Drosophila melanogaster: one gene and its partner. The protein of the gene in region 2 interacts with the protein of the main gene of each other region in a pairwise test. Each region holds a gene or a part of one and is shown on either strand. Other genes may lie near its edges. The genes, in order: Zip88E and CG31522.

Region 1 (4,460 bases), about 11 Mb from region 2:
GTCAGGTGAAGCAGCCAGCGTGGACAAGGTCAAGAGCCTCATTAGCGAATGGGGTGACGACGATGAGGACGAGGATGAGAATGGGGTTAGTGCGGCGGCGAAGGAGGAGCTATAATTACTAGATTTATTTATGTTCTAAGTTTGGCGATTCAACGCAGGTCAGCAGATAAACGCACCTGAGCTCGGCGCGAATTTTCGGTTTCTATTGTAAATTAAATTGTTAATGAAGATCAAGGTGAATGATAAGATATGCATATGCACTGGTTTAAGTGTATAAGATCTAATCTACTCATCTCACGTAATTGTAAATCCCCTCCCATCCCAAGTATGTTGCCCTGCTAGCATGAAAATCGTAAATCTAAGAGGAGTTCCCCAAATGACCTTAAATGAGAGATCAGAGACCAAACAACCCAACATTTAGCTATTTATGAGTGTCCGTTTCTTCACACATACACCACCAATAGAGCAACCAAGCAACATTTCACGATTAGGTAAACACTATATATATATATACACATATGCCTATTTACATACATATAGAGATGTAGTTACATAGATGTTGTTTTAATTCGTTTAAAACAGTGACATGATGTCCCCAGAAAGTAATAAAATGATTGCGTTTAATGGTTGGCTAAGTAAGATTAATCAAAAGGAAAAGAGGATGCCCTTTTTTTGATTAACAACTTAATTGTAAGGTTTATTACATATAATAAAAGCATAAAAAATAACACAAACTTTGGAGAAAGAGAAAATATAAATGTAGACGAGAAGACTGAACTTTTTACTTATCCTACGGCAGATCGACAATGTACCTAAAACAAGATTAGTTGGAAATGCACAAGTAACAAGTCTTACACAAGAGATTAACAGCTGCCAATCCATAATATTATCCTAAGTGTTCTAAGTTTAAAAAGCGGCACATTTTCTCACAGCGCTGAAACGATTTCTCAACGAAAAGATGTCTAATCCTCATCTGAAAAGGCGCGAAGAAAATAGGTCAGCAATGTCGAAAGGGAAATGCAAATCACATAATGCTACGCACCAGAAAGATAAAAGTTTATGATGCACATGGTCGCAAAGCCGGCGAGCACAGTTGCAAACTGTGCAAATCCCGCCCAGCGTCGCGTTGAGTTCGAGTGCCAGCGCGCCTTCTCGCGCGGTATCACCTCGCAGACGGTGACGTAGAAGAGTGTGCCTCCGGCCAGAGCTTGGACGATAGGCAGAGTTTTGCTGGACCAAGCGGCGGGCACGTCCACGATAAGCATGCCCAGGCCAATGCCAATGACGGCGCCCAGGGCAAACACCGAAATGCCGACGAACTGGGCGCGAAAACTCGTCTGCGGATTCGAGCGGAACTCGAGCCCCAGACAAAAGCCCATCACGAACTTGTGGCAGGCGACGGCCCCTAGAAGAAACAGAACCTACGACGAGACAAAGCAGATTCCGGTTATCTAATTGGACTAAGCCCTCGCATCTCTTTGCTTCAATATTTGCCTAAGATTGCGCACTATAGCCGATCTAGTCTAACTATGTCAAGGCAGGCGGCACAGACCTTTGTGGAAGAGTTCTGAACGCCGATGGCGAGTCCTTCGATGGCCGAGTGCAGTGACAGGGCGACAAAGAGACCCAGAGTGCCTGTCATGGATTGGGCGCAGGGTTCCGTGTGGCTGGTGTGGCAGATGCGGGCGTTGGCGTCCTCTACACTGGCATCATTACAGCCAGATGCGCTGGCCGGGTGATTGTGGTCATGATCGCTGCGTAATCGAAGCACAAAGCAATTAGTTTTGGCTGCGGGAAGGGAAATGCAATAAACCTACTGGCTATGATGGTGCGAATGCCCATGTGACGTATTGGGTTCCGCTGATAAAAGGGGCGCTCGTTCGTCCACTGCGCCATAACCATTGTCATTAGTGGGACGTCTTGGTGGCTCGGTTGCTGGAGTCTCTGCATCGTGGGCATGAGTGTGCTGAATGGCCTCGCCAAAGAAGTAGTGTATGAACTCGTCGATAAAGTAGATGATGAAGAACCCGCCGCACATGGCAACCTCAGCGAATTTCGAGTCCATTTGTTCGCGCACCTGTTGCATGCGTAAGTCAGCAGGTTATCAAATTGCAGCCACACACACGATCGCAGTCCAAGCTCTTACCTCGGGCAGAATGTGCACCAGTGCGGTGGCTAGCAGAATGCCCGCTCCGAAGCACAGGAGCAGGGATGCGGTCAGCGGGAAGCGGCGACGATTCCGTTCCGATATAAAGGCGGGCAGCAATCCGAACAAAAGACTCCCGAGTCCGAGGACCAGCATAGCCAGCACTTTTTCCAAGTCGCCGCGACTCGTGGCAGCCAGGGTGGGGCTTGGGGTGATCTCCATGTTTAGACCGTCGGTTGGCAAGCTCATTGTATCAACTGCCAGACTGTGTCATCAAGAAGGGGGCCAGTAAAACACACAAAAGTTCGTTGCATTTACTATTTTTAAACTAAACAGTTGCGAAGTGTGTGCAGCTGCTTTCGTGCGAAATACCAAAACGCCTTACAATGGGGGGGCCACAGAAAAGTAAGGCATTTCAGCAGTGCGCCTTTCAGATCACACTCATTTAAACGGTTTTTTTTTTTTTTAATTTTATTTAAACATTTAAATCTAGAACTATTCTTTTACCAACCACCACCATTAAGAATTTCAATAAAAGAAGGTAGGCACCCTCTCCAATTATAGTTTTGCACTTCGACAAATGCTCCTGTAGTTAAAATTCAAAATTTTACCGTTTCCGTCCTGGTTGTCCGTTGGAAAATGCATCGTCGTTGTATAATCTGTGGCCAGGAGCCGGGCGAGCAGTGCGTCTACCCGCGCAACATGTCGGAGGCTCGCCGGTGGCAGAACTTGGCCAACCTCAGCAGTTTTGACGTCGACCCCGAATCGCTATGCCGGCACGGATGCGTTTGCGCCTCCCATTTGGATGGCCACGGATCAGGTTCGGAATCGGAGAGCTCGTCTCGTGCTGCTGGCAGGGCAAGGACTCAAGCTGGCCTGCAGGAATGGAGCAGGTGGAGCTCTTCGGCATCGGACGCTGGCCATGGCTATTCCATCAGCAAAAAGACTAACGAGCGGATCCAGAACCAAAGCAAACAGAGTCTCGGCTCGGAGAGGCAGGAATTCAGCAGCGCGAACAGATGTACGAATGGTTGCTGTCGTTTTCGAAACACCTGCAACAGCATGTTCCAGGGCAATACATACACCCAAATGGGACAGAAGTATCCCAATCCACAAACAAGGGCCACAAACTTAGAGAACAAAAATAATCCACCTATGAAATTAAGCCCAAGGGTAAATAAACCGACCTTTGGAGCTGTAAACTGCACCTGTGATGGATGCACCTGTAGTTTCTGTCCAGTGCAAGGGATCAAAAAAGCGGTAGCCCCTCTAGAAGAGGATTCAGGCAGCCAACAAAGTATAAATAAAGAGTATAAAGAAAGAAAGGATAATTCCAAAGGCAGCCCAAAAAAACAGAGTTCCTGTGAACGTCTCACTTGTCCAGCTTTCAGGACAACGGACATAAAAACTGTAGCAGATGATTTCCGCAGTAGCCCGAACTACCCGGTATCGCCAACTTCACGAGGTAACAACAAAATTAAAAGTTCGATGAACCAGCAGAATACGAAGAAAAAGCCGGAGCTGAAGAGCGAATGCTGCCAGACGTGCATCACCCAGCAATTGAAGGATCAGGAAGTGCAGTGCTCAACGGTGACGCTGCAGACTCAGAGCTCTTCGCCTGTTAGGCGAACCAAGATGACCGGCTCGTTCAGCCATCAAACTGGAAGCTCAGCGACAGGTTTATCTGGCGGATACACCAATAATTCGAATAACTTTACTTGTGGCGGCGGCGAGAGAAGAACTTCAAATGCAATCAACGTGCTGCTTATGAACGGCACCCGGAATAATGACTATGAAGATGGGTGCTGCTCTCCGGCGAAGCAACGTCCCATGGCGCCGCCTCCAGAGATTTGCGTTCAAGAGTCCGATCTGACCGAAAATGATGAGCGAGCTGTGTTCCCGGAAATCGACAAGCCCAATTACAGAGTTTGTCGATCCTCGAACGAGACCAATGTTCTGGTCCTGGAGGAGAGTCCTTTGAATGATTGCAGCCCCAACCCAGGGCAGGATGCGAGTACACTAGATAGCAAGACGAAGAGTAATTTTGATGCTCAACAAAACGCCAACGATAATAAAGAGCAACATAATAGTTTTCTAATCAACTGGCTTGAGTCCCCGGCCACGAGTAACTTCACCAAGGTTCTGGAACTGCAGAGATCTCGCATCAAGGAGCTGGAGAATCTGCTGGAGCAGCACAGCCTTCTGCAGCAGACAATCCAGCACAAGGTTGCGGAGCTGCAGTGCACAGATATACCGGATCCTAAAAATATATCTAAATCATAAACCAAATCTAGTGCGCATATCTCTGAATAAA
Region 2 (5,075 bases):
AATTTCACATTTCCCACTTTATACGACCAAGTAGTGAACCAAATCATAAATATTTTATGAATTACATGAATATTCCAAATAAAACTATATTATATTTATTAAACCAATAACACTATATTATAGGATATATTTAGTGTCTCCCTCCACAAGAAAAGTCCTTTGAACTACGTCGTTGCTAAGTTTTAACTTTAATTTAAGAACTCCTTGCGACGTTTATAACTTAAACCGCAACGAGAAAGGAAGTTAGCCTTGCACCTGTAGCTTATTTGCGTCTGCAGTACTATGACGTCATTTTCAGAATTAAAGGGTATATATGTAGATTCGTTGAAAAGAAAGAAATTTAAAGCGGTTATGGTAGTCCGATCTTAGCGTAAAAGATCAAGCGATTACATACCAAGACTTTGAGAAAAGTAAAAAAAAATTTGGCTGAGCCCCACTACCAAACATATGTTAAAATTAAATTGGAACCTTTTGGGCGTCTTGTTCGTCCCTTAAAAAGCATTTTTTGAAATACTTTACCTAAGCCCATAATTTGTGCTACATGTCATTAAAAACGCGTTTGCAAATGATTATTTGCTTTTCACAATTGTTTTGTCTCAAACAACAGATTAAAATGTAATACCCATTACCCGTAGAGTCAAAGGGTAGACTATAGGTAGGCAGTTTATGTTCTTTTCTGACTCGATAAAGAACATATTACTTCATCAGGACCAATAGACCGTATAAACGTCAAGATCTCTCTTGTTTTTTTTTTTACGATGATCGTTGAACGCTCGGCTGTGCAAAAGTGCAGAAACGTACCAAACAATCGAAAAAATCAAATAACAATACAGATTGCCACTGACTTAATGTACAAATGGGCCAGTACTTAATAGACGCGTACTAATTTTTGGCAAACAAATCCGCTAACAGGCGGCGACAGCTGGGCTGTACAGGCTAATATTTAAGCCCCTCTTGACCTTGTCGGCTCTCGACTCTTGCCGCATCAGCCGGACAGGGCGCGATGTTAGCCAAGTTGACATAACTTAATGCATCATAATGCACCGGCGTATTTGGAGCTGGAGCTGCGACGGAGACTATCGGCACTTCAGGCTAGTGTTAGCGTTAGATAATAATAACTATTTCCCAGCTCACTTTGGCACGCGCCCTTTGATGCGTTGTGACCAAACACTGAACCCTGACCAATTATCAATTGTATTATTACTACCAAGTATCCGAATTTCGTTTACAAGGAATGAACTTTGGAGAATTAAAAAAACTGTTGGAAAAAAACTATTAATTCAGGCAAAAGCTGCGAGTAACGACCGCTATAAAAATAAAACCCCTATTTTCTTAAATACTATCGATTTGGAACATATAATTGTAGGATAATTAGACAATAAATCTTAAGTCACCCCATATTTTGCGAAAACTCTTTCATCATGTTCCAAGCAATTCTTAATTGTTGGTCATACGGTTGGCCCAAAGTTTCGAATAAGGCCGTATATCTGTGCGTATCCATGATTATAAGCCAGATCACCTACACGGGCAGGAATCGTACGCCTCGTAATTAACATGGATGATTTAACGCTGTGAAAGGCCAGGTATCGGGGCTGTTCGGAAGTTCACTCCATGTAATATTTACTCGCTGGCAGTGTGCGATTGCTATTGCGACGGTAGCCACACTTGAACCTTGCCTGCGCCGCTGACATCAGACAAAAAAAAACAAGGTTCGGGTTCAGATTTGGGTCTTGGGTTCGGGATCTCCGGATCTGAATCGAGTCGCATCATTCCCGGTGTCCGGGAATAGCCAAGAGCCAATCAGGCCATTTGCCATCTTCGTGCACTGCACTTGACGCTCGGCGGCGGAAAGTTTTCGCACTGCACTCGGTCGGTGCTTGCCGCTGACCGTAACGTTTCCACCGCAGCCGCTGCGCTGCCAGTGGCGTTCTTCCCTGCGCTGGCGCTCGCGGTTGCGCCTGCGCCTCCGCTTCGTCGGCGTCGCGCGATCCGCGTTTAATTAGCCGCGCGGCGCGATCGCGGCTCAGTTTTCATTCAGAAGTCAAGCGCGCGCTAATCGCAGACGCAGTCACCGATCCCGTGTGCGAAAGCCGAAAGCCAAGAGCCAAAAGCTATTGCGAAAGTAATCATTTTACAAAGTTCTTTGGCAACACTTTGTGAAATAGTTCGGGCCGCGCAATTTGTGTGTTGTGGTTTTTGCAGTTTTTAGTTTTCAGATTTCGGTTGCCAGCGATTTACCAACCGAGCTGCTGCTGGCCGCCTTCCGTTGCGGATTTCGAGCTGTTTGCAAGTGGTAAGCTGTAAGTTGTTCGCACATGTGATTTTTGTTTTTCGCTCTTTTGCAACTGCGCGGCGCTTGGTCCGTTCACAATAAGCATTTTGGACGGCGCTCTCCACGCCAAAACACCTCCCCGCTCTGGCCAATCTGCCCGGCTATAAGGCGCAGATCGTCCGAGCTAATCGATTTGACTGGCCAATCGGGCTGTTCGATCCGGTGTTTCCAATGGTGTGGCAACCCTGCCATTTGGCGGTTGCACAAAATCAGCTTGCGTGGGGCATTTGATTCCCAGCGAGGATCCGATGCTGAGGACCTCTGGAGAATCCTCGACGTGTGGTCGCAGGCGGGATTCCGGCGGGATTTAGCCCTGGCCTGACTGGCAGCGCAGCGGCAGACCACGAACAGCTGGGCGGATTTGTATGCTGTTTGAGCAGCTGTTCTGGTTTCTGGACTGTTGACTCCCAATATACCGATAGGTTTTGTTTTGCTGACCCCTCGAGATAATGCATAAGAATTAGCCAGCATCGTAAAGCTTTTCACCGTTGACATTGGGTCCAAAGTAGCAGAAGCGCAATTAGTGCGCCCTTCGCGAATAATTGCCAGAGTTTTTCTTGCACTAAAAATATACAAAATGGTAATCCAAGGCAACTCGAAACAAGTGCGGAAACGATTCGCACAAAACCGGATCTGCAATGACCCGATTTTGGCCTTGGACTTGTCGCAGGGCATCCTGATCGTGGCAAAAAGTTTCCTTGAGTGTTTCCCAGTCAGGCGAGGTGGTCGAACGAAAACCGCTTCTGGGACCGACTTTCGAGGTCTTGTGACTTACTGATCGATAATGGGATAATGGTAGTGAATGGCTCCAGATCGACGATCGCTTCCGCGTTGGCTGTAATTGGACATCATAAATTGAACCGCCCAGAAGGGCTTGCTCATTGTTCTTACCCGGACTGGAGCCACTCAGGCGCTCCTCGGCGGATGCCACTAAGGTGGCAAATACTTTCAAACAGTAAGCTGGGATTTCGCTTTCCGTATTTACATATGCAAACCATTTGGGTTTTTTTCGCGCTCACCGTTCTTCAAATGCCACGCACGTAGCCGCGTTTCCAGCGAATTTACAGGCTACACGCCAATCCCCTGAGATCGCAGATCCGAGATCTGAGGCCCGACTCTCAAGAAGCCTCAAGAAGCCTCAGCCAAAACTTACCCAAACATTAAATCGCTCAACGCTCGCCGGCGTGGCCGCAGCTCTGGCTCACACCGCTTACTCTCTACTTATAAATAATTTAAACACAAAAGTTTGTTTGTCTAGAAGAGGATCTCGCTTCCACATCGAATAGCGCAATGGGGCGTGCTAACAACTGCGATTTGCGGAAGCCAAGTGTTAGGAAAAGAGCCGTAAACGTTTACATTTACGTGAAAGTATACCTTTATATGTATACTATTGTTTGCTATTATGTTTGCTATTGAATGCATTACAAACGGTTTAAATGTATTGATAAATACAAAATAGAAGGGCATACACTTTTGTCTGACTCCCATTATATATATATATATATGCATATGCATATATATGCATATATATACTTCTACCGACCATAAAAGCCACTAACCGATAGATAGGCCGCCGCTTGAATACCAAAATGTCTTGGGCAGTTTTCGAATATTTTAAACAATTACTACATTACAGTTAAGCGCCAATAACAATACCCGTACAATTCCTGGATTAAAGCAAGATTTCGTATCTTAATCTGGTAGCAATCCAGTTTGTACAATACGAACATTTTGTATATAAACTTTATAAAAAACACCTCCAAATATGTGGGATTAAAGTGACGATGACACTTCTCAAGTCCTAAAATGGCAATTAGTTAAACTTTTTTTTAACAAATTTTGCAGACAAACACATTTTGGAAAATGTCATTCAAATCTTGTTTTATAAATACAAGAATTATAACTAGAATTGCTCCCCCTTCTTCCTAGCTAATCATCATTCAACAAGAGATTTAAATCATCAAAAGATTATTCGATCACGATATACATAAATGGCTCTGATCAGACTCTCGGTTCTCATCGTCACTACGTAAACTGCCATCCACAGCGATGTTAGGGGACTTTACTTGGGATAAGCACACGTACCTACTTATAATGTCAATTGGAAGACAGCGTTTTGCAGTGACTAATGAAAACAATTAACAGAATTTCGTCCGCCTATGTCTGCGACGTGTACGGCATTAAAAATATTCCAGAAGCAACAACACTATCAGCCACATCTCCGCACTTTAGACAGAAGATACTCACAACTTGTTCATGACACTAAAACAAGTTGAGACATCACCTAGCTTGCACTTCGGTTTGCATTACCTTAGTTCTGCTTTGAGTTTCAACTTCCCCGATTTGATTCGACAAACTGGAGTAACTAGCGTAACTAGACTTACTCTACTCTAACTAGAGTTTACAACAGCAGTCTTTGAAACCCCGGGAAATTAGTTAAATAGCTTGTCAGTAAATTGACTTAATTAGTGAGCCGAAGCGCGAACAGCAAAACGAAAAGGAGCTGCAATATGCCCAATAAGACTAACATTTAGAAGAACACCACAAATTGATCGTTATAAGAAACTTCCGTTTCAGAAATATAAGTCCAATACCATGGTTAAGTATTCCTTATGGTTTTCGAGACTAGGGTACATTCCTTATAAATTCCTAATTAATTATTATACACAATACTTGTAGGGTAGACCTGAACTTGAAATGTATTTGATAGAAAGCATATCTTCGACGCTTTATTTTCTTTTTG

What was found.
Region 1: the proteins of CG31522 (region 2) and Zip88E interact in a two-hybrid assay, tested with the Drosophila melanogaster proteins (one large-scale study listed by BioGRID).

The regions. Positions count from the first base shown.
Region 1 is NT_033777.3:15,266,698-15,271,157, reverse strand, and holds Zip88E (Zinc/iron regulated transporter-related protein 88E), read right to left. Parts: upstream 2,497-4,460; 5' UTR 2,396-2,496; coding exon 2,147-2,395; intron 2,078-2,146; coding exon 1,818-2,077; intron 1,755-1,817; coding exon 1,553-1,754; intron 1,422-1,552; coding exon 1,043-1,421; intron 974-1,042; coding exon 963-973; 3' UTR 626-962; downstream 1-625. Other genes in the region: Cp190 (centrosomal protein 190kD), read left to right, coding at 1-115; CG14864 (uncharacterized protein), read left to right, coding at 2,786-4,429.
Region 2 is NT_033777.3:4,459,845-4,464,919, reverse strand, and holds the start of CG31522 (uncharacterized protein), read left to right. Parts: upstream 1-2,036; 5' UTR 2,037-2,293; exon of another isoform or gene 2,294-2,300; intron 2,301-5,075.